Saccharomyces cerevisiae S288C: one gene and its partner. The protein of the gene in region 2 interacts with the protein of the main gene of each other region in a biochemical or structural test. Each region holds a gene or a part of one and is shown on either strand. Other genes may lie near its edges.

The links.
Region 1: the proteins of OCA1 (region 2) and PKH3 form a complex in vitro, tested with the Saccharomyces cerevisiae proteins (one large-scale study listed by BioGRID).

What each region holds. Positions count from the first base shown.
Region 1 is NC_001136.10:1,385,097-1,398,418, reverse strand, and holds PKH3 (protein kinase PKH3), read right to left. Parts: upstream 3,299-13,322; coding exon 602-3,298; downstream 1-601. Other genes in the region: TLG1 (Tlg1p), read left to right, coding at 1-393; RMT2 (protein-arginine N5-methyltransferase), read left to right, coding at 3,845-5,083; SPP41 (Spp41p), read right to left, coding at 5,240-9,547; STP1 (Stp1p), read right to left, coding at 10,044-11,603; mitochondrial 54S ribosomal protein mL40 MRPL28, read right to left, coding at 11,903-12,346; CMI8 (Cmi8p), read left to right, coding at 12,653-12,895; MFA1 (mating pheromone a), read right to left, coding at 13,133-13,243. UniProt on the Saccharomyces cerevisiae protein: Serine/threonine-protein kinase which may phosphorylate the same targets substrates as PKH1 and PKH2, 2 upstream activators of PKC1.
Region 2 is NC_001146.8:438,067-449,304, forward strand, and holds OCA1 (putative tyrosine protein phosphatase OCA1), read right to left. Parts: upstream 1,218-11,238; coding exon 501-1,217; downstream 1-500. Other genes in the region: MIC27 (Mic27p), read left to right, coding at 1-251; Ras family GTPase RAS2, read right to left, coding at 1,536-2,504; PLS1 (Pls1p), read right to left, coding at 2,731-2,853; PHO23 (Pho23p), read right to left, coding at 3,300-4,292; 40S ribosomal protein eS7 RPS7B, read right to left, coding at 5,332-5,760, 6,106-6,249; YNL095C (uncharacterized protein), read right to left, coding at 6,846-8,774; phosphatidate phosphatase APP1, read left to right, coding at 9,545-11,238.

The DNA of each region.
Region 1 (13,322 bases), on a different chromosome or scaffold from region 2:
ATACAGGAATCTACTCAAACAACTATTCCTCTAGAAGAGACGGTGGAAAATTCAACACTTAACACCAGCATGGCTGAGAACAATGATGGTGGTATGTCCAATCCGTTTCAGGAACAAATGTTAAGAGAACAAGATGTTCATTTAGATGGTATTCACAAGACAATGCAAAATTTGCATATTCAAGCTCAAACAATGGGGGATGAATTAGAGAACCAGGGACAATTGTTGGATAATATGGACGAGGGTATGGACGGTGTTGTAAATAAGCTGGCTAGAGGTCGTAGGCAATTGGAATGGGTCTACGAAAAAAATAAAGAAAAATACGACGATTGTTGTATAGGACTTCTTATTGTCGTCTTGATAGTTTTATTAGTTTTGGCATTCATTGCTTGAAAAATACAATGCACTAATGCCGAAGAGCTTCAATCGAAGATATACTGGGCATATATAAAATACATGCATTCTGAATACATAAGTGATACGGATATTAATGCTACAAGGGTTTGGATATGATTTATATGTTGGTTTTTCTGGATCGTCAACAACTCGTGCATATTTTTTTGTTTCGAAGTAGAGGAACCACAAATATTATTAAAGCGTGTTATTTTTTTTTCTTACTCTTCTGTAAACTTCTAAATGCTGCTGAGGCACCCCTACTAGCAATTTCCCTATCAAAGTTTGTTTGGCTGTTATTAAGGGTATGTAAGACCTCGTATCTGCTGCTACTGATCACCATGTTAGAAGGAGCAGAATACTTTTCTCTCGTAGTTGGGAATTCCATTTGCGGAAGTGGAGGTGAAGGTGTTGGCTGTCGATATCCTGTTGTTTTGATTTGAGGCTTGGTCGTAGAAGATGAAGGAGAAAATACGGATGATCCCTGCTTCTTCGAAGTTAAAATATTATGCTTATTGTTCCCTACATTAGTAGAAGGCCTATGATTAAAAGCTGGGACCGAACCGTTGGTATATGTATTGGTAGAAGGTGCACTATTTGGTAATCTTCCATTCATTTTTTTCGGAGTTTCACCAGCGTTATTGCTTGACAAAACCCTAGGATGTCTTGAAGAAGGAGTGGAATTTGCACCGGGCCTATCCTTGGTACTACTAGGTATGCGAAAAGGTTTTTCTTCTCCAACATTATCGTTTTGTGGTGCATTGTTCTGGCTTCCATTTTTTGCAGTATAGCTGAGTGTTGTTACATTATTTCCTATACTCAGAGGCCGCTCTTTTCTTGAAATAGGCGGAGGTGATGATGGTTCACTCGATGCCTTACTATCAAAGGAAACGTTACTGATTTTATCAAGAATTTGCTTTTCTTCTAGTAGTTGTCTTGCTCTGAAAAAGCAATCGACCCAATTTTCATTGTTATTTATTGTCGAAGACTTCACGGCATTGAATGGTATTTTGGATAACGTTGAATATGAAGGTAGCGAGATAAACCATATTCTATTCTTATATTTTTCCAGGATTAAAAAACCCTTCCTTGTCAACTCATTGAATTCAAAATCGTACATGGACAAGTCTGTATCTTCTATATTAGCCATCTGGTGTTCTTTGTTTTCTTGATCATCATTTCCCTCCATAACTGTGTTTTTGTAACTTAACATTCCGCTCTTCTTCAAAGTCAATACCTGTAAAAACGACTCTGAGTTTTTTAATTCTTCTTTATGCTGCGCAACTAGTGACGTAATTAAATCATTATCGATCTTATTGTAGCTGTTCAAAGACATAGCAGGCCCTTCGTGTTCATATGGAATGCCATAAATGAAGACGTAGTCTTGTTTTAAAACATGAATATCAATTGAGTTTCTTCCATCTAAAGTGTGTGTTAAGTCCTGGTTCCTTATCTCTGTTGACGGCGCCGATAGAGCTGACGATGCTGACGATGTTGACAACTTTTGTGGTATTGATGATGTTTGCAAAGGTGGCACATTAGGCTTTGTGCGCGGAATTGACTTATTTCTCACGTTGTCATTAATTACCGGTACTTTGGGAGGTATTCTATTTGGTGCAACTAGTTGTGCTCGCTTGACTTGATTGGATTGTGAATTAGGCGGTAAGGCAATATTTGCAGTAGAATGTGCCGCCGTATTTGTTAATACATTGGTATCATTAGGGGCGGTCACTGCAGGCGTAGTGGACGGTACGGTGCCTAAATCATCCTTACCTGTTGATATACCAAGCCTTTTTCTCCATACTACTATGCTACTAGTAGTGTTGGAAATTTTCGTTGGTTTCTTACGTTTTTGTTTTGTGATTTGTATACTTCGTGCTGGAGTGTCAATTACATGTAATTGTCTGGTGGGTAGTATATTCTGCGGTATATTTGGGAGTCCCAAAGTAGTTTGTTGCAGCGATTGTCCTTGTGATTGCCAGATTCCTCTCCATATTTTGATTTTATCATTCCAATCTACTTTTGAAAAATATGGGTGTCTTTTTATCTGTTCGAGAGAGATTCTCTCATTGACCTCTATCACCAATATTTTTTGTACTAAGTTTATTACAAGGGGATTTATTGGTGATGTGCTATTATTGATGCGGTTATTGGGTCCCCATGGATAATCTAATGCTACGATTTTTTCAAATGTCTTCAGCTCATTCTCCCCTCTAAACGGCGGTTGTCCTTGGACAAACTGATATATCATGCAACCTAGTGCCCATATATCTGAGCCATAACCGCATTGGTTGTATAAAAGCAGCTCTGGAGAGACATATTCGGCAGTACCAACAAAGGAAGCGCAATTTTGGTTGTCTTTTGAGCCGTTGCTGTCAGAGTTAAACTTGGCCGAATCTCCGCTTAAACTAGGGTCTATGGTGGCAGCGGCCCCAAAATCAGTAATCATAAGTCTACCATCCCTGTCTAAAAGGACGTTTTCCGGTTTTAAGTCTCTATGAATGATGCCATGTGAATGGATAAATTCTAATGCATCAATTAACTGTGCAGTGAAATGACGCGTCCATATATCATTGAAAGTACCCATTTTGTGCAATAAGGAAAGTAGTTCTCCACCTGGGGCAAAATCCAAAACAAAATAAAGATTTTCCTCATCGTGAAAAGTATAGTATAGTTTGATTATACCCGCGTGATGCTTTTGTGCCAACAAATTCATGGTATTCTTTTCAATGGTGACATATTTTACCTTAGCTTCTTTGATTATGTGTTTCTTCGAACAAACTTTAATGGCATAAATTTTATTCGGGCTTTTTTTATCTAGAGCTTTAAACACAGTAGAGTAAGAGCCATGGCCCAGTTCCTCTTTAAATATGAAATCGTGCGGAGACCTTTTCCTAGACGTCATATGTCATACCAATGTCCCACACCTACTCTTTAAATTTTCACTCAATTGTTTCAGCCTCTGAATAGATAAGACGTGGAAGAACTGCTTACTTGCTTGGGTTAGGCTTTAGGCACTATTATTCTGTTTCCTCACACTTTCAAATCAATGTACCTCTCTTCTGCTGCCTTCATGAAAACCCCTTCGCTACCAAGAAATCACCGCGCGGGTAAGCATGAAAATTGTTTCGATCCATTGTTACCTCAATATGTGACATTAGCTGCGAGTAAGGAAGTTATATTGTTAACACTTTCAGTATCATCTCTAGTCATCAGTACGTGTGCTTGGGGTTGACCAATGCAGATATTTGTTTAGTGTATATAGGATTCGAAGGATTATAACGATTCTTTTCCTTTTTCGGCGAGAATCGATGGCACCTTTCTTTTTCTAAAATTTTTCAAAGCTCATCTCATCTCATTTTAAGCTAAGCGTAAAGCAAAATGACATTGACAATACCCAGCAGTTGCAACGGCTAGGTGTTTACACCAAGGACTTTTAATATATTCAAGTATGTCAGAATTACATGCTTTGCTTACTTTCCCAGAGAGGCCCATTTCTCAAAGTTACTATGTACCAAAACTGCAGCATTTCTTAAAATCTGGTATACCGGCTACATATACTTTGGAGCAGGTCGCAGCCTTCGAGCATGAGGAAAAGAACAGGAACGGGGATAAGGAATTCAGAGAGAGCACTGACGACAATAAAACCTCAAACACAACGCCGTTACACGTTTTAGCAAGATCGCTACCCTTGGATATCAAGGATGAGGAACTGCAAGTGGTGATGGATATGATGAATATTCTTTTTGAGTATGGGGCTGGATGGAATTTTATTGACTACGAGGACAAAACAGTGGGTGATTTGTTTTTAGAGAGAAATCAAAGTAGGGAGAGCCCTCTTTATAGACGGCTCGTGGAAGCTGGTGTGTCTGCTGAATTATTACTGAGAAAACTCAATGGTGGCGACGTCGAATTCTTGGATACAGATGAACTAATAGGTATCGAGCCTGAGGAAAGCGTTCAAACAGCAGTTGATGGTCAAAAAGAAGAATCAGTTGGTAGTGATGACGATGCTACCGCGGCAAATCAACAAGTGTACTTAAAAACAGAACTAGAGTACAAAGACGATGCGCTTATCACAAAGGAAAATAAGGACGGTGTTATGATGGATTGGGAAACCAAGATTATGGAACTTGCTTCCGAAACCTTATTTCCTGATCCAGAGGCCACTAATTCTGCTACGATCTTAAACATTGGATTTGGAATGGGGATCATCGATACATTCATCCAAGCTCGAAAACCATATCGTCACTATATTTGCGAAGCTCATCCAGATGTTTTGGCCAAGATGAAAATGGATGGTTGGTATGAAAAGGATAATGTGGTTATTTTAGAGGGAAGATGGCAAGATACGTTGAATAATTTATTAGACAAAGGTGAAGTTTTCTTTGATGGTATTTATTATGATACATTTAGCGAGCACTACCAAGACATATTGGACTTATACGATGTCGTGGTAGGTTTAATTAAACCAGAAGGCGTTTTCTCATTTTTCAACGGATTAGGCGCTGACAGATCGTTGTGTTACGATGTATATAAAGAAATTGTTGAGATCGATGTTGCTACATATGGTATGAAATGCGATTACACCAGATATTCTCTTGACGAGCAATTGCCAGATTGGAATGATGTTAAGCGGTCTTACTTTAACTGTAACTATTATTACCATCCACGTATCACGTTTGCTTAATTATAGAATAATGTAAATTGCACAATGGCAGGGGCCGATTTCCAATACTAATATTAGTTTCGAAAATCGGAAGAAAAAACTATATACATTTGCTACTTTAAGTATATATGATTATGCAGAAATGGACATATGAACTAAATTATGTCTAGTAACACCTCAGTGTAAAATGCTTTTCTTTCTCTTCTTCTTTGGTTGTAAAGAGGCTAACTTCTCCTCCCTGAACGACTCTTGAATATCTTTTTCAATACAGCGTGCTTTGTTAAGGTTATTCATGTTTACCGCAAGAATATTCAAAATCTCCTTGTCGTCAATCACAATCTTCGTGTTGTTTGCTTGCGTCTCAGTAGTTTCAAGGCGATCCTTGTACTTTTCTTGACTTACCTTTTCTTGAAATCTTTCTTCGATCCATTTAGACTTCGTTTCTGATTCTCCTTCCCCAAAAAATGCGTTCGCACGCTTTTTTAATCTAGACTTTACGTCATATTCCCAGTTCTTGGTGGAGTTCATCTCTCTCCATCTCCGTTTCCTCACATTGTTAATCTCCTTCTTTAGACAACTCAACTCCGCCTCGGTCAATCTAGCCTTGGCAAATTTTAGGACTACACTACGCTTACTTTGTACCTCTTCTGGAGATGGTATATCGAATGTGTAAGTAATGGATTCGCTGTTTGCCTTTCCATCGGCTTCCGGTGCGGTAGTGGCGTCAGCAGAAAGCTTTTTAATGCGGCGGACACGTTTAGCTTTGGTAATACATCTACCCGATGGAGGCACTAGTCCATCCAAATTCAAAACCTGTCTTGGTGTTTTTTTCAGGTATTTTACGTTTTCATCTTCATACTGGTAGTTTTTAACATCAGTGGCTGTGATTTCGGGCAGAATATTAGTGATAGTAGAGGAAAGAATGTCGGTGATATTACTTCCCAAATCAACGGATTCATTCTTTATTTCGGGTATTTTGGTATTTACCAAATTTTGAACTAAATTAATAACGCTAACTTCAGGCTTAATTTGCGGTCTTTTTAAGGGAAATATGATGGGAATTTTTGGTTTTGCTTCATTTAACGGTTTGAGAGAAACATCAATTAATTTGGGCTTTCCTGTTGTCGTGTTTACACTGTCTGGTTCATTACCCGTAAGTTGGGCTGCATCAGAATGCAATGTAGACTTTTCATCTCCATCTTTCTTATCAGACAGGCTCGCATCTTCATTCAAATCTGTAGCAATTTTCTCACCTGGCTTCTTTTTATCCGTTTTTTCGACAGGAGATTCAATTAATATCCTCTTTTCATTTTTTGGATCCCCATTTGTCTTGTCTTCAGTTAGAGTAACTTCCTCAGAAGCCTTGGTACCGACATTCTCCTTAATTTCTTGTACGCTTTGGGTTTCTTTCGCTGTTTCAACATTATTTTCCACAGGTTCTACGCTCTCTGCCCTCTTCGTAAGTTCTAGTTTATCTTGTGATGGTTCTATAGTTGAAACCGCTATACTAACAGGAGGAACATTCGCATCGCTGTCTTCTATTTTAATTGGCGTAGTAACGCCCTTTAAAGTATGCCCAGCGATTGTAGAATTAGAGTGGGGATCGGGCGTGGCTTTATCAGGGGATTCAGAGCTGCTGATTTCTGTTCCTGCACTTCTGGCCGGTAATTGTTTGTCTAATTGTTGTTTCACTCGAGATGTATTGAAAATAGGAATCATTTTCAGCGGATTCTTCATTCGAGACGCAGTTGTTGCCAGTTCTGTGGTAGTTCCCTTAGAATGAGCGGCTTGCATACTGTTTTTCCTTGCTTGTAAAGCTGCCCTAATAACTGTAGACTTGGCATGTTGAATAATGGTTGCCAGCCGTTTCCTTGCCTCCTCAGGTGTGGCGCCAGCAGCTGTTTGCGATTTTGCAGCAGCTTTTAATGTATTTATTATCGGTAGTAATATGGCCGGTAAAATTCTGTTCCTAGTACTTGCCGTACCTTCTTTGGAGACACGAAAAGAATTATTGGTTCTCTTTCTATACTTTTTGATATTTGGTATTTTCTTTCTTCTAGCTACGGGTAGTGCAAATGGTGGTTGAGACGGTATAGTCCATGGGGGATGGAAAGGAATTTTTTCTTTATGCACTACAGTTTTTAGGTGTGCATCGTAATTTTGAGATGCAGATGAATCTGATAGGGGCCATTCGTGATCTTCACTCTTTGGTCTCGAAAGAATCCTGCGGACACCGTCAGGCGATTTATGTAATCCAATAGTGGATAGCGAACCTTCAATGTCATTCAGACGATGTCTTGCACTTGGCTGAACATTACCCTTTACAAAGTTGAAGAGAGGAATTTTCTTCAAAGCAGATGAAGGTACCTTCATTTTCTTTTCCTTTTTCTTTCTTTCCTTTTTCACCTTCCTCGGTTTTTCAGCTTCCTGTGATCGTTTCAGTAGCTCTTCCGGAGTCCATCTTCTGTATGGTTTTTTTGGTTTACCGCTTTTAGTTAGTCTTAAATCTGGGGGATAAGGTGGACCTCGTTCAACAATTTTTTTCAGTTCCTCTTGTTCTTCAGCCAACCTCTGCTTCTCTAGTTTTTTTTTATGTCTCCTTTCCTCTCTGGCAGTTTGGCGTTCAAGTTTCTCTTTCTCCTTTAGTTCTTTGTTTTTAGCCCATCTTTTCTTTCTAGCCACAGATGCAGCCTCGTTGGCAATAGAGACGTATTTTTTGCGTAACTTCTTTTCTAAAGATACTTCTGTCTTGGAAGGTTTCTTCGGTTTTGAAGGTACTTCAGTCAATTCTACACTTGAGGCATCTCTAGATGCCTTTTTGGAAGCTCTCCTAGATATAGCTGTTTTCTTTTCAGATTTGCTCGAACTTTTAGGCACCGATTTCTTTTCCATCCTAGAAAGGTTATCATGCGGCAGTAAATCGGAAACACTCAGATCGCCTAAACCACGATTAAAGTCTTCAACAATGTTCTCATCAAATTCATCGTCGTTTTGATTTTGAAAAACCATAGCCATTGCGTTTTGCATGATTTGATTCAAGTCAAGCGAGTCATCATTAGCTGTGCTTGCATCCTCAGTAGTATATTGACTTTGTACAGGGGAAGTAAAATCACTTTCGCTTTCTAATTTATTATCCTGTGTGGCAGTATGCGTTGATGTTTCTTTTAATGAAGTGTTAACCACTTGGTTAACCATATCGGCTAATATTCTGGAAAATTCATCATCTTCGTAAGCTTCTTGAGATTTATTACTTTCCTTTACAGTTTTCTTCTTTTTCTTTTTCTTGGAGGTAGATTCAGATGCAGGTGATTTATTTGCTGTAGATGCAGCCTTGGATGTCTTACTTTTTGTTTTTTTCTTCTCTTGAGGAGGCCTCTTTTTCGGTTTAAAAGCCTGTAACATAGCCAATGGAATATCGTCTGCAGTCGGTTTTCGTGGTGGTTCAACTGCTTTTCTAGAAGATACAGGCCCAATCGACTGTTCTTGTGAAGGCTCCTCGGTTGGCGCAGAGCTTAGCAGCTCGTTTTCAAATGCTTTTAGTGTCGCTTCCACTAAAGCTTGCGCTTCCACATCTTCGTTGTTTGTATTATCAGTATGGGAGTTATCTTGAATATCAACTGTTTGTTTGGCAGTGTCTATTGCAGCATTGTCATTTTCATGAATCAGATTTTCTAGTATATTACTTAAATCAAGGGTATTTTCATTATTAGTAGGTTTACTTTGCTTTTCTTTATTACGGTCTTTGGCATGCTTTTTGGAATGGCTCGAAGATTTACTCTTCTTTGAGGATTTATCCTTTGATGATTCTCTGTTCTTGGATTTATCTTTTTTCTTTTTCTTTGAAGATTTTTTGCTGCTCAACTTATCATTCGGGGCAGCATGCTCATGTTTTTCCGGCTCTTTCTCTTCCTCCTCATTTGTGTTTAATTCTTGTAGAGACTCTAGGATAGCCATCCTCAAATTTTCATCATCTTGGTCGAGAGCGTCATCAGTACGCTGAGAGGGATGGTGCTGACTAGTGCTTACACGCCTTTCTGTATTCTCCCGCAAGGGCTCTCCGTCTGATTTTAATATTTCCTGCTGTAAGATATGAGCCCATTCTTGCTGTTGTTCTTTTTCGTGATTATCATCCGCTGTATCCGATGTTACATGTTCTGATCCATTTTCCAGATGATTTTCCGGTTTGGCTTGCTCATCGTCTATATTTTGAACCGCATTTGCAACGACAGATACTAGCTCATCTTCTTCGTCGACAAAATGTGGTATTTCGATATTCTGGTCAGGAGAATTATGCATATGCTGGCTGTCATCTGGATGCTTTGGTTCTATATTTTCACTGGTAGGATATATTTTTTCAAAATCATCTCCTTCCTGTTCTCCTCCTTGCACTTCTCCTTCCTCTTGTCCCTCTTGGTTATGTGAGCTTAGTAAGTTCCCCACAAGTTCATTAAAATTTATCTCTCCATCATCTTCATCATAAGCCATGGCAGAATATGATATATGGTTAACACCTTACTGTTTTTTTTTTACCAAAAAAAAAATAAATGATAGAGGTGTATAAAGCGTTCTAAAAATTACTTTCCTCTTACACTCTACTAGTGTCAATAAATGTGCATTTATTTGTTTACTACTTATTTTTCATTGTTTTCAAAATTTGACCTTTATTTGTTATAGCATCATCGGTAATCAATCATGAAAAAGAAATCACAAACGTCAAAAGTGATAATATCTACGAATCGACTCTATGCGCTGAAGATCAATAATAAAATATTGGTGTTGCAATCACTTGGTTTATTTAACATAGTAGTATGAAAATTAATTAGTCATGCTAAAAGTTTTTATATAGTATACAGCAGTACATTTATAACCTTTTATTTGTTGTTACCTGATTTTTAATATTGTCTCCATTTATTAACTCAATAATTTTTACCCATCGGCTTTCCAATATGATACCCTTATTTTTATCCCGTGTTATATTTAATCAAAATTGTGACCCAAAGTTGTCATTGTAAAAATTCAAATATTGTTGTGTCTCTCTCATGTGATTTTCGCTGAGATATTCTGGATTTAGTTGTGATTGTAAGATTTGTGAGATTTTTGTGTTATCATACTGCGTGCAATCACGGTTGCTTTGTGTGGATATGATGGGATATGACATTGCGTCTTCGCTCAAATCATATGAAGATTGTTCAATATCGAGTGGCAGGAACGAAGGATTATCTTGTGCCTGCTGCTGTTGATTTGTGAAGCTGTTTATGTCAATCAAAAAATTCTTCATTTGCTTGCCATGGAACATAACTTCAGCGGAAGATTCCGATGAACTAGAAGGGACGGGCTCGAGTAGATGAGTATCAAAAGGTGAAAAAATTGTGGCGGATGAGATTTCATCAGGTGCCACTTCTTGATTGTTTTGTGTAGCTACCTCTGGTGTGGTTACCGTCGATCCAGATACCTGTTGCTGCTTTTTCTTGATATATTTTCTCTTTCTCTTGGGTATGTCGACTTTAAAGTTTTCCGAGTTTAACATTAATTTGTTGTTTCCGTACTTGGATATAATATCATTGCCCGAACTGTTATTAGCCACTATGGTCATAGCCTCTACGGCATCCTTGTTGAAAAGTACTTTAGGTTCTACAACACTTTGCGAAGTGGATATGAATCTAGAATGACCATTAGATGTCTTGATCTTCCTTAATTTTCCAGATCTTTTTTCATTTTTCTTGGTATACCCCTGCGGTAAAGCTTTACAGTCCCCAGACTCAATGTGATTCTCAACGAAATTTTCAATGGTGGAAAAGTATTCACCACATTGAGCGCAATGGCCGGACGACTTGTTACGGTCTTGTGGTTTAACACCTTTGGGGTACAGCACGTGCCTTGCCTTCAAATGAGTTTTATAAGTATCGCGTCTGCTAAAACCACCCGAATTGTGGCATCTAAGATCAGGAGGAGTGGCACTGTTAAAAAATGGACAGTGATACGCCTTTTCGATGGCGTGCTTCTTAATATGTCTCGTTAGATATCCTCTAATCCTGAAAGTAGCGTCACAGTAGTGACAAATGAACTCCTCTTCGCCGTTGTTCAAGACCTTGGTGGAATGTTCTGGGGTGGAGCCTGATGGACTTAATGGAGAGCTTGTGACACCAGTAGACATTTTGATAGGGGCGCCTGTATCTTGTTCTGGCCTTGATCCGAGCAGTGACTTGGCATTTACTTCTGATTTGATACGATTCTCAGGAGATAGTGTGATCGATATTGGCGTGTTCAAATCGCTGACATCCATGGAGCAAGGGATCACAGAGCAGCCACCATTTAAAGAACGGTCTATATTATTTGATTCGGGAAACAAACTTGTGGTAGTCTTTTCTTCATCTGCTGCATCTTTGCCTTCCTCCTTTGTCGCATTTTCACAAGAATAATGATGACTTAGATCTGGCTTGGATATAATAACTCCGCTGACGAGCTCTCTGAAGAACGCGTATATCTTGCCTGGAATGGCCCTAATATGTTTCTGCGGAAACAGTAGCGTGGTAGAGGGCATTTTTGAACGAATGTGGTATAGCCGGTATAGTTTGCCTTTTCCTTTAGTCTGTAATGTAAATCTACTTTTAATCAATGAGTCCTTGCAGTTTATACAAGAGTCAGCTTGCTTTTTTTTTCGCTTGCAGGGATGGGAAAAAGCAGTAAAAAAAACGTCAATAGTGATACAGTTCATGTCATAATTACCACATGCCCTTTATATGTCTATGTACATATAATTATATAAGTCCATATATACGTGGCATTCTATTGATCATCAGTTATTTACAGCAGGAGACAGTCAAGCGTTCGCTCACGCTATCATTTTCGGAAGTTATAATGCCATAACGTATTTGGGGGGAAGTCAGTGGGCACCTTCATTTCCATCGGGAATCGCTTGCCCTTCTCGGAAGCATTGGCAGCCTCAAACAGACGAGGGCTGAGTTCTTGTAGAAGGTTCATAGATCTCTCAATGCTCTTATATTGTAATTCCAACTGTAAATTTCTGCGCTCCCGTTGTTGCTGCTGATAAATTGACCAACACTTCTCAATGGTCTGATGTTTAATCAGGTCTTCACGCGCCAGCTTCAGCAACTTGGGCTGCTTTCTGCTTGCAGACATCACACTCAACTGCGTGACGACCCTTTGTGCCAAAGGTGACAGTGAGCTCTTGCTCTTTGTTCTCTTATTTCTGATGAAGACCGTGGTCCCAGATACCTGTTCTAGAACGGCTCTGTGTGGTTTTTTGAATGTTTGTGCCAGCATGTGTTATCTTCGTTGTGTAGCGTAGGTCTTCGTCAGTTCAGTATCCTAATCTGCAAATATCTGGAGGTATATTAACTTATGCTTCCCTCCATACAGGCAGGCCCCAGTCTGCTTCATCTTGTTTCTCGCTGGGAACTTTTGTCGCCCCATACGATAGTCACTGTATACGTAATTCTCAGCCGTGCATATTTCACAATAAAGACAGTCTAAAGGGACAAAGGCAAAGCGTCAATGGACAGACGACAATTAACTGGATATTATTTTATGTGTTGAGTATTCAAAGCACATAAACAAAAACAGATTATGATGGATAGCGGAAAGAGTGATATAAATAAGCATGCATACAAGGAGACAGCGACCCCGCTGCCCGTAGATCCGCCCTCTTACGAAGAAACAATGAAGCAAGATAAGGAGGAGGTCGAAGCCGATGAAACGACATCTTCCGCACACAGAGACAGCTTTATGAGGCCTGTTTACACTCACCATCCGCATCCAAGATCCCACAAGGGATATCCGGGTGCGAAGACCCTTACATATACTTCACGGTAGGTGGTAAGCGGTATATGTACATATACATATATATATATATATATATATATATGAGCGTGTGCATGGATGTACAACGATAACAAAAGCAGGTACAGGGTATCAAAATATTTTATATAATATAGTTACTTAGGATATTTATTATTAGGTCTAAAAAGAAATATTACGAACAAACATGATATATTGGTGTAGCGGAAAAGGAAGATAAAGGAGGGAGAACAACGTTTTTGTACGCAGAAACTAAGCAATAACACATGCTGGGTCCCAGAAGACACCTTTGATAATATAGTTGTCCTTCTTTTCACTGCTGGTCTTTTCTTTTGGAGCGGCGGTAGCGGTAGATGGTTGCATTTCTATTCGATGGCTTTGTACTTATTTTGGTTTTATCCGAGAAACAGTTACAGATCCCTCTCATTAATTCATTTCTGGC
Region 2 (11,238 bases):
TACCATGGGTATTGGCAGCAGCTACATTCAAGTATTGGGCTCCACAGACATCACAGAATTTGGTCAATGCCACTGAAAATGATTTACTGCCAGCTGATTTCGTCAAGTCATATCACAATACTTGGAAACGAATTTATGAGGAAGGATATGTTGCCAAGAAATGTGATTTAAAACGTCAAATCGATCAGACATTACAAAAAAATATAAGGTATGCAAGGGAACAGCTTTATGAAAAGTTGGAGCAAGCATGATATCAAGCGGATATCTTTTTTTGTTCATTATCATGTCCATAGTAAGTATGTCCATATATAAATCGGATAATTAATATTCTATAAAATTACCCATTAAATAAATTTCATTTATTTTGAATTTCATTTCGTGTGATCTTTAGAAGTTGGTTCGCGAATGGGCCGTGCATCCTGAAACATTTCAAACTTTAGGTAAATGGTCATAAAGCTCAGTGCTTTTTCTTTATCTTTTGCATTTTTTTTTTCTTGCCTCTACTCCAAAGCTGTCAGTAACCAACTTGGTGCTTTATTTTTGTCTATTTTTACTAAATTAGTGTCGAAAGCTTCTATAAGCAACTCTACAAGAATTCTACCACCTCTGCTACCAGTAAAGCGTCTATATTCTTCGGATACACTGGCTAAGTTCCAACCCATTATTCTTCTGAGACATCCAATGACTGTCCCAGTCCTATGTCTTCCCATACCACAGCACACTAGCAAGGGATAATTCTCTTGAGTGACGATCGTTTGTAGTACATTAATTATAGAATGTTCAGTGAGACCGTCCCATGGATTATCGTCCTCACCGGCATCCGGGTTGATGGCTGCGAATTGTAAGTTTATTCTATGAGTATCACAAAACTCTAGGAGGGTATCTTGAGGTTCTTCGTTAGACAGCCATATAATTGTTTTCAGTTTTAGGTTTAGTAAAAAGGGGAAATTCACAGGTGAAGGCTGACCAGATCTATAGAGGTATCTTTCAACGGGACAGAAATTCAAAGGTGGAACGATACGTTCTTGTGGGGCATGTGATACCAAGACCTTTTCGCGACCAGATTCTGTTTCTTCATTGATATATATATGATCATCATCGTCGTCTTCTTCCTCGTCTTCGTCTTCTACTTCTTCTTCAGGTACGGATACGTTCTCTTCTGTGAGGCGGGACTCATCCTCTGGAACGTCCTCATATTCACCAACTTTAGATGTCATTCTAAGGGGAAAGAGAAGCTTGTTATTCCAGGTGGAACACCTCTTTCTTGTGAAAATGGATGTGATTGATGACTCTCTGCAATGTCCAATTTTATGTTATAGCGATGTTGTTTGTTTTTTCCTTTACCCGGCAACCATATGATATTGCCCAAAGTTTCCAATGTTAACAAGAATGAAACGGAAATAGCAAATGGCAATAAGCAATATAAAAACAGTCACTTTTTTATTTACTTTTGTATATATTTATAAATGTGTGTACTCGTTTCAACTTTATAGAGTTCTTTTCGTCTTAGCGTTTCTACAACTATTTCCTTTTTATTAACTTATAATACAACAGCCACCCGATCCGCTCTTGGAGGCTTCACTGGTGTTACCGCCGGGTGCAGCTTGCTGCTTCCTAGCCTGTTTAGCATTTGAAACTTGACCGGCCTTACTATTATTATTTACACGATTATTAACCGTATTAGCGCTTTGAGCGTTGGCCTGACCAGCTTGGCCCGTGGAATTGTCTATATTGGTGCGATCAGTTTGTGTCTTACCATTTGTCGCCTGGTTGCCTGCCAACCCTGTCTTACTCTCTATGCTTGCATTCCTGGCATTCACGACAGTTGTGCTACTGTTCACATTTTTACCGTTGGCAGCATTGCTCATCTTCCTGTGGCCACCGCTATTTCTAGGCACAGAGTTGGCACCGCTCCCTTTTGTATCTTGAGAAGTTTGCTTGGAGTTGTCATTTTCCGTCAAAGTCTTGTTGTACTTGCCGCCTTCGTCTCTAACTAAACGTGCTAGAGTGTAAAACGCCTCTTCCACGTTGATTGCTTGCTTAGCAGATGTCTCCAAGAAAGGAGCGTTCATTTGCTTTGCCATGTTCAACCCGTCCTGGTAAGAGACCTGTTTTTCGTTTTCTAAATCAGATTTGTTACCAACAACCACAATTGGAACATAGTCGGTATCTTTGACTCTCAATATCTGTTGATAGTAAGTCATAAGCTCATCAAGAGACGACTTGGACGTTATAGAGTAAACCAATAGGAATCCTTCGCCGTTGCGCATGTATTGTTCCCTCATAGCAGAGTATTCTTCCTGCCCTGCAGTATCCAAAATGTCCAATATAGACACTTCATCATCAATCACCACTTGCTTCCTGTATGAATCCTCAATTGTGGGATCGTATTCATCTACAAAGTGCGATTGGGTCAATTGTATGGTCAAAGCAGATTTACCAACACCACCACCACCAACGACGACTAGCTTGTACTCTCTTATGTTCGACTTGTTCAAAGGCATTTTTTTTTCTGTATATCTCCTTTCAATTCGAAAACGGTTAACTTGGTTTTTTTATCCGTAATTCTCTCGTATCTTTCTGCTCAAGTAATTTTCTCCTAGTTGATTAATATAGTGCAGAAGAGTCAGATAAAGAGTGGATGAATAAAATGGAAAAAAAACAAAAGCCGGATTGCGTTACGCTTGAAATGAGCGATTCTAGGCGATAAGAGAAGACAACGGCTAAAACTTAAGATGTTGGGGTACTATAAATGTTTACCCAGATTTTCGGTAGAAATGTTTGCTGATGTGAACCTTGTTTCCCGTTTTCCCAGATCCCCTTATTCCAGCTTTGTTTCGTCTTTGCTGTCATGTTCCGTTTAATTTCTGAAGGCCTGCCTAGCTTCACCGTCCTAAATGTCACGCTCCAGGCAGAGACATGGCGCAGGGGCGAGGCCAGGGGCAAAGGGGTCAGGCAGGAACCTCCAAGGGGGGCGAGGTGAATGAAAAGGTCCTTCTGAATAAAAAGCCTAAGCGATTAGCCACACCACCCACTGTACGGCGATTAGACTGAGCTGCTGGCGCTGCTACGCCGTGACAAGTCATTTCATCATTTATTACGTTTTATCGTGCCGTCATCACCATCGATTTGAATATTTTATCTAGACCGGTAGGGCCCAAGTATCTTGCAGATCCATTGATACGGCCACGCCCGTTAAAACGCTAAGATATATATATATGTAGCTAAGATATATATATATGTATATATTCGGTATTTAGTAGATATTTCCTTAAGGCGATATTCGCCCGAGAGCTATTTCACAGTTTTTTTTTGCAGTCGTCGCAATACCACTTGCCCTTAGGTAGAGTTTCGAGTCCAATACATGGCAAATGGAACCATTCTAGCTCACAGTCTGCGCCATCACACCCCACCATTTCCCCGTATGCCACTTGGTTACAGTAGCAGTAGAGCGGTTCGCCGTAGTCGTTGGTTTTTGGTCTTGATATCCTGCTGTTGTTGCTGTTTCCGACGCTGCTAACTCCCCTGGACGCTGTAGATGTACCTATCCTGCCATTATTGACGGCAGTTGCCGTGCTGATAGTGCTTGGTGAAACGGCTGTGGTGGCAACTCTCCTCTTGCGTTTTTTGGTCTCTGGATCGGCGTTGTTGGTATTGGCAGCGTTGGCTCTTTTTCTTGAGTTTGTGTTGTTACCAGTGTGGTCTTGGCTCTCGTGCCTGCTGCCTCCGTAGTTTGCGTCGTTCTTTGAGTCGTCTTGTTGGTGTGTGCTGGCGGAGTAATGTTCGCCCTGCCTCCTGTTGGCAGCCATGGCTTCTCTTCTTGATTCGCTCTTCAGTGCCTGCGACGATTTGCTGTTTGATTTGCTCTCTATTTTTTCCATTAGTTCATGATGGAGGTGCATTGCTGGATGGTTGTCCACACCCAGTCTTAAACCTCTAGGAATTTCTGTGTTCTTGATTGCGACTTCATACGCCAATTCTAACCGGGACGTCAATCTGTCTAGATTATCCAGCATAATGGATGAGACATGCATTTTCTCCTCCAGCGATGGCATCAGTTCTTCATAAATCTTGTTGATATTATTGAGCAGTCTTACTTGTGTTTGGTGATCTTTATTGAAGTCTTTCTTCAAGAACTTATCTATCCTCTCGTTCAAATTCGGCATAGAATGCACACATTTTGCATCTATTTCGTGTAGTAATGTTAAATATCTGGAGGTGGCCAGTGGGAATTCCTCCAGCACGTCAGTTATGTCGTTTAATCCAGGGAATAGGTTCGCTGGTGAACTCATTTGTACGTATTTCAGACTATGAACGTGGTTGCTGTTTGTGATACTGCAAGACTACAAACTTTTCTCCTTCCGGGTTCGTCCTGTTGTAAACGCCTAACTCTTTTCCTTAGGCTCCTTTTTCGTTTTTTCCCTAGCTCTTTCTTTCTTCTTCATGTGCATGCACTCTTTCCTACATATTTTTTTTTCAAGGGCATTTTTAACTTTCTTCGGAAATCGTCTAAGAATTGTAAACTATAATTGCAAATACGCGATTAGCTCTATCTAGAATACCGAAAAAAAGGTTTGCCACTCACAATTGGACGTGCCTCAATTATTTCAAGTATACGTCATTTGGGCTTTTGACTTGTAAAATATACTCAAATGAAATTCTGATTATACAAAGTTGAAACACGTAACACGCCATGTCAAGGTACGCGTAGAGGTAAGCAGATAATGCATGGACAATGTGCTGGGCGAAGAGGCGGATCTAATTACACATACTTGGGATCATCTAAGATTTCAGATGGTTATGTTAATGCTCACTTGTTCCACGCCTTTTTCCTTTCCTTCAGATAAGTAATCCGCATATCAATGTGAAAGAACTAACGGTTGTTGATGGACGTATCGTTGTCTAGCGATAAATAATGCTTTTTCTTCAACAAATAAGTGGTTGTTTGGCCGAGCGGTCTAAGGCGCCTGATTCAAGAAATATCTTGACCGCAGTTAACTGTGGGAATACTCAGGTATCGTAAGATGCAAGAGTTCGAATCTCTTAGCAACCATTATTTTTTTTCCTTTTTATCTGATTGCAGCGAGAACTTGGGAAATCAACCCAATATGTATTCCAAAATGTCAAAACACCAATTAAAGCATCTCTATATTGACAGATACAAAATATATTTAAGTATACATTCATAATTATTTTACTCGAATTAAAAAAGCCCACTTTTTGGAAACCTCCTTTTGTATTCTCATAACTATGTTTCTTTTTTTATTATTTTTTCTTAATATTATTTTCTTTAAGTATGACAAATGATGAGAATGATAGTTATCTCACTATTTAGTTGGTCTGGCTTGGAATTTCAAAAACAATTTGTTTGCCAGTCAACTTGTTGTAGACAGCTTGGAAAGATTCCAACTTGTAGTCGATTTGTTGAACATCCTTGGAGTCTAACAAAACCTTTTGGATCTTGTTACCACCAACCAAATATCTAACTCTTTTACCGACAATTTCAGTTGGGAAAACCATGTCTTCCAAAACCTTGTCGTGAACAGCAGTCAAAGTTCTGGATCTTGGTCTCTTTTGGACTTGTCTAGATGTTCTAGATGGTTTTGGCAAGATTCTTCTTTCAGCCAAGAAAATAACATGACGGTCAGGGAATTTCTTTTCCAATTCACGGGTCAATTTGGTTTGGACCTTATGGTATGCAGACAAAGCTGGAACTGGGACAAAAAGGACTAGTGCTTTCTTACCACCGGTGACATCAATCTAAACAATAAGAATCAAGCAGCGTTGAAATAAAGTTAGTAACTGAATTGGTTCATTCATAACAAAAAAGGGTTTGTGATTCTTCTCCTTGGGGTAAGGTCTTTTTCGCGTGCTTCTATTTTATTCATCGATATTGGTACTGACCAAGGAGGCCTTTATAGTTCAAAGGCTCATCGCAACGTTCATGGTATTGACAGCTCTCGGAATTACTATTTTTCTCGAACACATGAAAATTTCATACAGATACTGCTCAAAATCACTCTTTTTTGAAAAAATTACTGCAAAGAACCCCTTTAGAAGAAATCACAATGTTGCTGCTTCCAAATTATATAACTTTTAACATACTTCTCTGATAGATTTGATTTGCAATGGTCTCAAGTCAGCCTTTAGTTCTGGAGAGGAGCTTTCTAGATCGATGAAGGTCTTGGCGACTTGTAATTCCAACTCACTTGGAGCTTGGGATAAGATCTTGGATTGGACAGAGGACATTGGTCAGTTATGTGTCTAGTCTTTAGTGTGTTGGTTTCTCTTCTGTTTGTATATACAAAGTCAAATAACACATATTTTAACCATAATCAATAGCATTTGGTATTTCCCCCTCCGCGTATTATGAACGCCTAGTGAGCCCATTCTTCCCTAAAGCCAGGCTGGAAACCCAAACTGTGTGGAACGTGACTGAATTGCATTTGGTGAGTTACCAAGCAAAGGCTCGCAGGCTTGAACCACATTTTACCAGGGCGCTCGCTTTTTCCGAAATATTGAAATTAAGCAAAACAATAATGTACGGATTTAAAGAGGTACGGATGGAGACCGTAGAAAATTGACTTTTTTTTTTTTTTTGTTATTTTCTGTGCCTTTCGTAACTACTACTATGCAGAATGACAGGTAGTTGTTGTTTCGAATTGCTACTTTCACGCATTCAACTTGATCAACATTTCTCTCTGATGAAAGGTTGTGGAAAGTTTGGTCGTGTCTATAAGTAGGTGTTTTTTATTAGTTCTATATAAAAATGGAGAATGTTAATTTTAACCCACCCTAAAACAGTGATTAGGAGTGGTAATAATTTTTTGTTTAATGGATTAAAACTAAAGGTTCATCTGTACTTTCAGAAAGTAAGACACTAAAAATGGCAAGCTAACAACCATTAGCGGGTATTGCAGCATTAAGAAAAATGAAACACACTCCATTTGGATTGGCGCAGTTGTTTCTGGCGGCGTAAAACTGGCGGTGAAATATATAAGGGTAGTCATCGTTGGCAAGTTCCAGCTGATTGCTATAACAAATAGTAGCATTCTATCATCTTGCCAATTAACCCATCCAGCTTTCACTAACCGATCACACCATAGGACACCAAAAATTGGCATGACACATTGTCTCAAAATGACGAGTGTCACAGCGGCTTTCCAAAATCCAGGATAAAGGTTGCCAATCTTTAATCTTCCTAAAGTTGCTCCTAATAATATCAACCCAAATGGAACACATGCGGCACCGACATAACCTGTAAAATCCATGAAAAAGCTTAATGGTGGTGCATTGTCAGGAGCTTGGCTTATGTGAGGAGTATTAGCGGTAGTCACGAACAAAGCCTTGACCCATGGGATAAATGCAACAGTTAGGGCGATGATCACGGCCATAGAGCACGGTCTCAAACAATTCTTTAGGAAAAACACAAGTAATGGAGTTAATGAAAATTTTCTCATCCACTGTGGTAATGATTCGCCGGATGTTTCAATATCCTTTTTACTTACAGTGGCATCTGATGTTAAGATCCTGGTTAGGTTAGCAGTTTTTATAGTCTGTAAAGTGGAATTTGAGCTAATTGAATGCACATCATTCATATCAGCGCCGCGTAAACTGGAATTCCTCCTTTGATGACCATACTGGTCAACGTTGGAGTACTCTCTGATAAGATGGTGTATATTTTGAGAAGGTAATGCACGCATATCAATGGAGCGGATAGGTTCCAATGCCGCCATAGACATATTTTTTGGGCATTTTTCATCTAAACAGTTCTCTTCTAGGAGTGTGGTAGTATTGTAAGCTCTCGGCTGGCTCGCGGTTCTACGTGCTCTCATAGTATCTATGCTACTCTCATAACTCTCTGACGTATTATAAGAATGTATTGTTGAAGCAGATGATTGGCTATCTAATGGATTTGAACCACGAGTTGCCTGTGACTCTTCGCTTTGAGTGCACGCAATAGTATTTCTTGCCTTCACCTGAACTGGTTTTGTAATCTTTGAATTCGAAGAAGTGTCTGGTAGTGACAGGGGAGCTATACTATTTGTTGATCTCCTTGAAATTGGTGGTACGTCTGCGTTTTCACCCTTTGTACCTATAGCTTCAGTGAGACTATCGCGAGCGGTGTACTTATTGTTGAAAAGCTGTTGTTCGTTTGAGAAGAAACGCTCGCTAGTATCTGTATTAGTTGTGTTTGCACTTACTGCGGGCTGTGTCTTTGTCGTTTCTGAAACCCTAACGGCGCTTTCATCGTCGTTGTACTCGAAATCGCTTTCAATCAGTCGAAACCCCCCCAAATTGAAAATGCAAATTAGAAACATTGTCAGAAATATAATGACGTTAGCCACACCTTTGTTACCTTCTTCTTCCGAAAATACAAGCCCTTGGTCCATAGATTGTAAATATGCAATTGGTAAATCACTTATATTTGGAAACATACCACCGGCAAGAATACCACCGTACCATTGTTTAGGAACAGGCAGGAATAGCCTAACAACGTATGCAAAAAAGAACCCAGAACCAAATATTAGGAGGGCAGACAGACAGATAATTCCCACAGATTTGATGTCTTTATCTTCAATATTAGCGACAATCTTGTTGAATGACAGAGAGGGTAGTAAAACTGTTAGCACGATATCAGAAATAATTCTTGTTGCTTCAACCGTAAGAATTCCCATTTTAGCCATCAGAAAGCCGACTCCTATAATCAAATAAATCTTGATTATCGGCTTAACTGACACCCATATCGCTTGACCCAGAGTAATGTGCACCATCTGATGAAAATTTGAGGTTTCAATCCCTTTCTCTGTTTGATTCTATAACTTCTCCAAAAAAATTGCGCTGACGCTAATTAGTCACTGTTTATATCTTTTTTAGCGATGATTTGTAACAATATGCCATAAAAGCGTTCTCTAACTGCGGAAGTGATGAGAATTGAATAGTTTTATTCAGAAGGCAATATATCCTAATATGGCACAAAAAGGCAACTTGTATGCACAAAATGAGCATAAGAGTTCAGGCAGAACGTTGTGCTCTTGATCCAAAGGTTAAAAGTCATCGAGTAGGAAGATATTGTAACCTTCGCGCAAACCGCAGCCGCAGCGGGTCACGTGGTCGCGCAAATGATGATGAGGGCGCGGTCTAACTTTCCAAACGAGGTTACCAACAATTCTCGGACAGATAAAGCATTAGAATAGGGTGGCAACGCCTTTACGGTTAGCTTGTTCATTGTGATTGGTTTGTGTATCTTTTCTTGGCTTTTTATGCCCACGAGACATAAAGTATACGAAGCTGTTATACTATTCGTGATCCAGGGCAAAAATTTAGCATCATTAAGGCATATATATCGCAAATAGTGGGTTGCACAAGGCTTTCAATAAACAGTGTCATATGTTTCTCTAGCTCTGTCGGTTTGTTGGCTATAAAGAGTTTGTCTAGTAATCGCCGTCTTTTCTTGGGACCATTAACACAGACAAGGACATTGAAACTTGGCTATAAGTTCCGTCAAAGGGGGAAAAAATTGCTTTGGAGAAGGAATAAAAAGATGAATAGTCAAGGTTACGATGAAAGCTCTTCCTCTACTGCTGCTACTAGCGGTCCTACTTCTGGAGACCCACGAATGGGTAAGAAACAACGGTTTATGAATCTCATAAGAACCACAAAGGATGTTTATATTCCTAACCTGACGTCATCCATTTCTCAAAAGACAATGGATGGCATCAGGAGCACTACGAATTCCTTCGAAGGTTATAATGACTTGCCTATGGAATTGCCACATAATACCACGATAACATATTTTCCAACGTATACCACAACTAATTTGGTTGACCCTGACGGTTTGAGTGCGCCTCGGAAAGATTTTGAAACTACTGTCAGATGTGCTGTTTCTTATCCAGGAAATCCTACAAGCAGGAGAAATAGGTGGTTGCTTTCTCTTTGTAAACAATATCTTAGAACTGGAACGGCGGAGGCCGATGTTGCACCTGTTGTTCCCCCTCATCTCGAAGAGGATTCTGGAGATTTAAACGACTCCCAATCAAGTATAGAAAGTTCTTTGTCTTCAAAGAGCGAAAATAGGTATTCACATATGGGCATCCAAGAGGAAGATGTTCTGAATGAGAGAATTCAAGGATTCCTGTCCAAAAAAGTTCCTAATACTCCAGTGGTGGTTGACCTATTGCCCAAAGATAAGCTCAGAGGGGATACGGCTTCCTTTTTTGGTACCACGGACTCTTATGGTAATTTACTAATCAAGGCAGAAACAGATTTTTTACCGTCCAAGATTAATATTACATTAGATACCCCTATAGAAGGCCATGCAGATCCCATATCTGAAACATTTCCGGCCAATTATGTCTCGCCCTACGGTATTGGTTTAATCAGTGATATTGACGACACCATCAAGCATACTGGCGTTACGGGTGACAGGAGATCGATGTTTCGTAATGTTTTCATCCATGATGTTCAATCGTGGGTAATAGATGGTGTTCCTCTTTGGTACAAAACTTTACATGATGTCGCAGACGTTGATTTCTTTTATGTTTCTAATTCACCCATCCAAACTTTTACTCTTTTGAAACAATATATTTGCGCCAATTTTCCTCCGGGTCCAATTTTTTTGAAACAATACTCTGGTAATTTCTTTTCCACTATCATGACTTCAAGTGCGAATAGAAAAATTCAGCCGATTGCAAATATCTTAAAGGATTTTCCCAAAAAAAAATTTATTTTGGTCGGTGATTCTGGTGAACATGACTTAGAAGCGTATACCACTACGGCTTTACAATTTCCGAACCAGATTCTGGCTATTTATATAAGATGTTGCTCTAATTCCATGAGTGATGTCCCATCGCATGATGAAGAAGTTATGAATGAAGTGAACAATATCATCGAATTACAACAACGGCCCATGCAAATGACCAAGTCTACCGTACGTACCAGGAGAAGACCACCACCACCTCCCATTCCTTCCACTCAAAAGCCATCGTTGACAGAAGAGCAAACCGAAAGTATAAGAATGTCACGCCGTAATAAAGATGAGAACAATGCTAAAAGAGTTGCCCCACCACCGTTGCCGAACAGACAGTTACCTAACTTAGACGCTAATACTTACTATGTACCATCCTCACAAAATGACTATGGCATGTATGGTGCTTTCATGGATAAAAAAGCAGATGAATGGAAGAGAAGAGTAATGGACTCAATTCAAAAATTGAGCAATCAAGACACCACATTGAT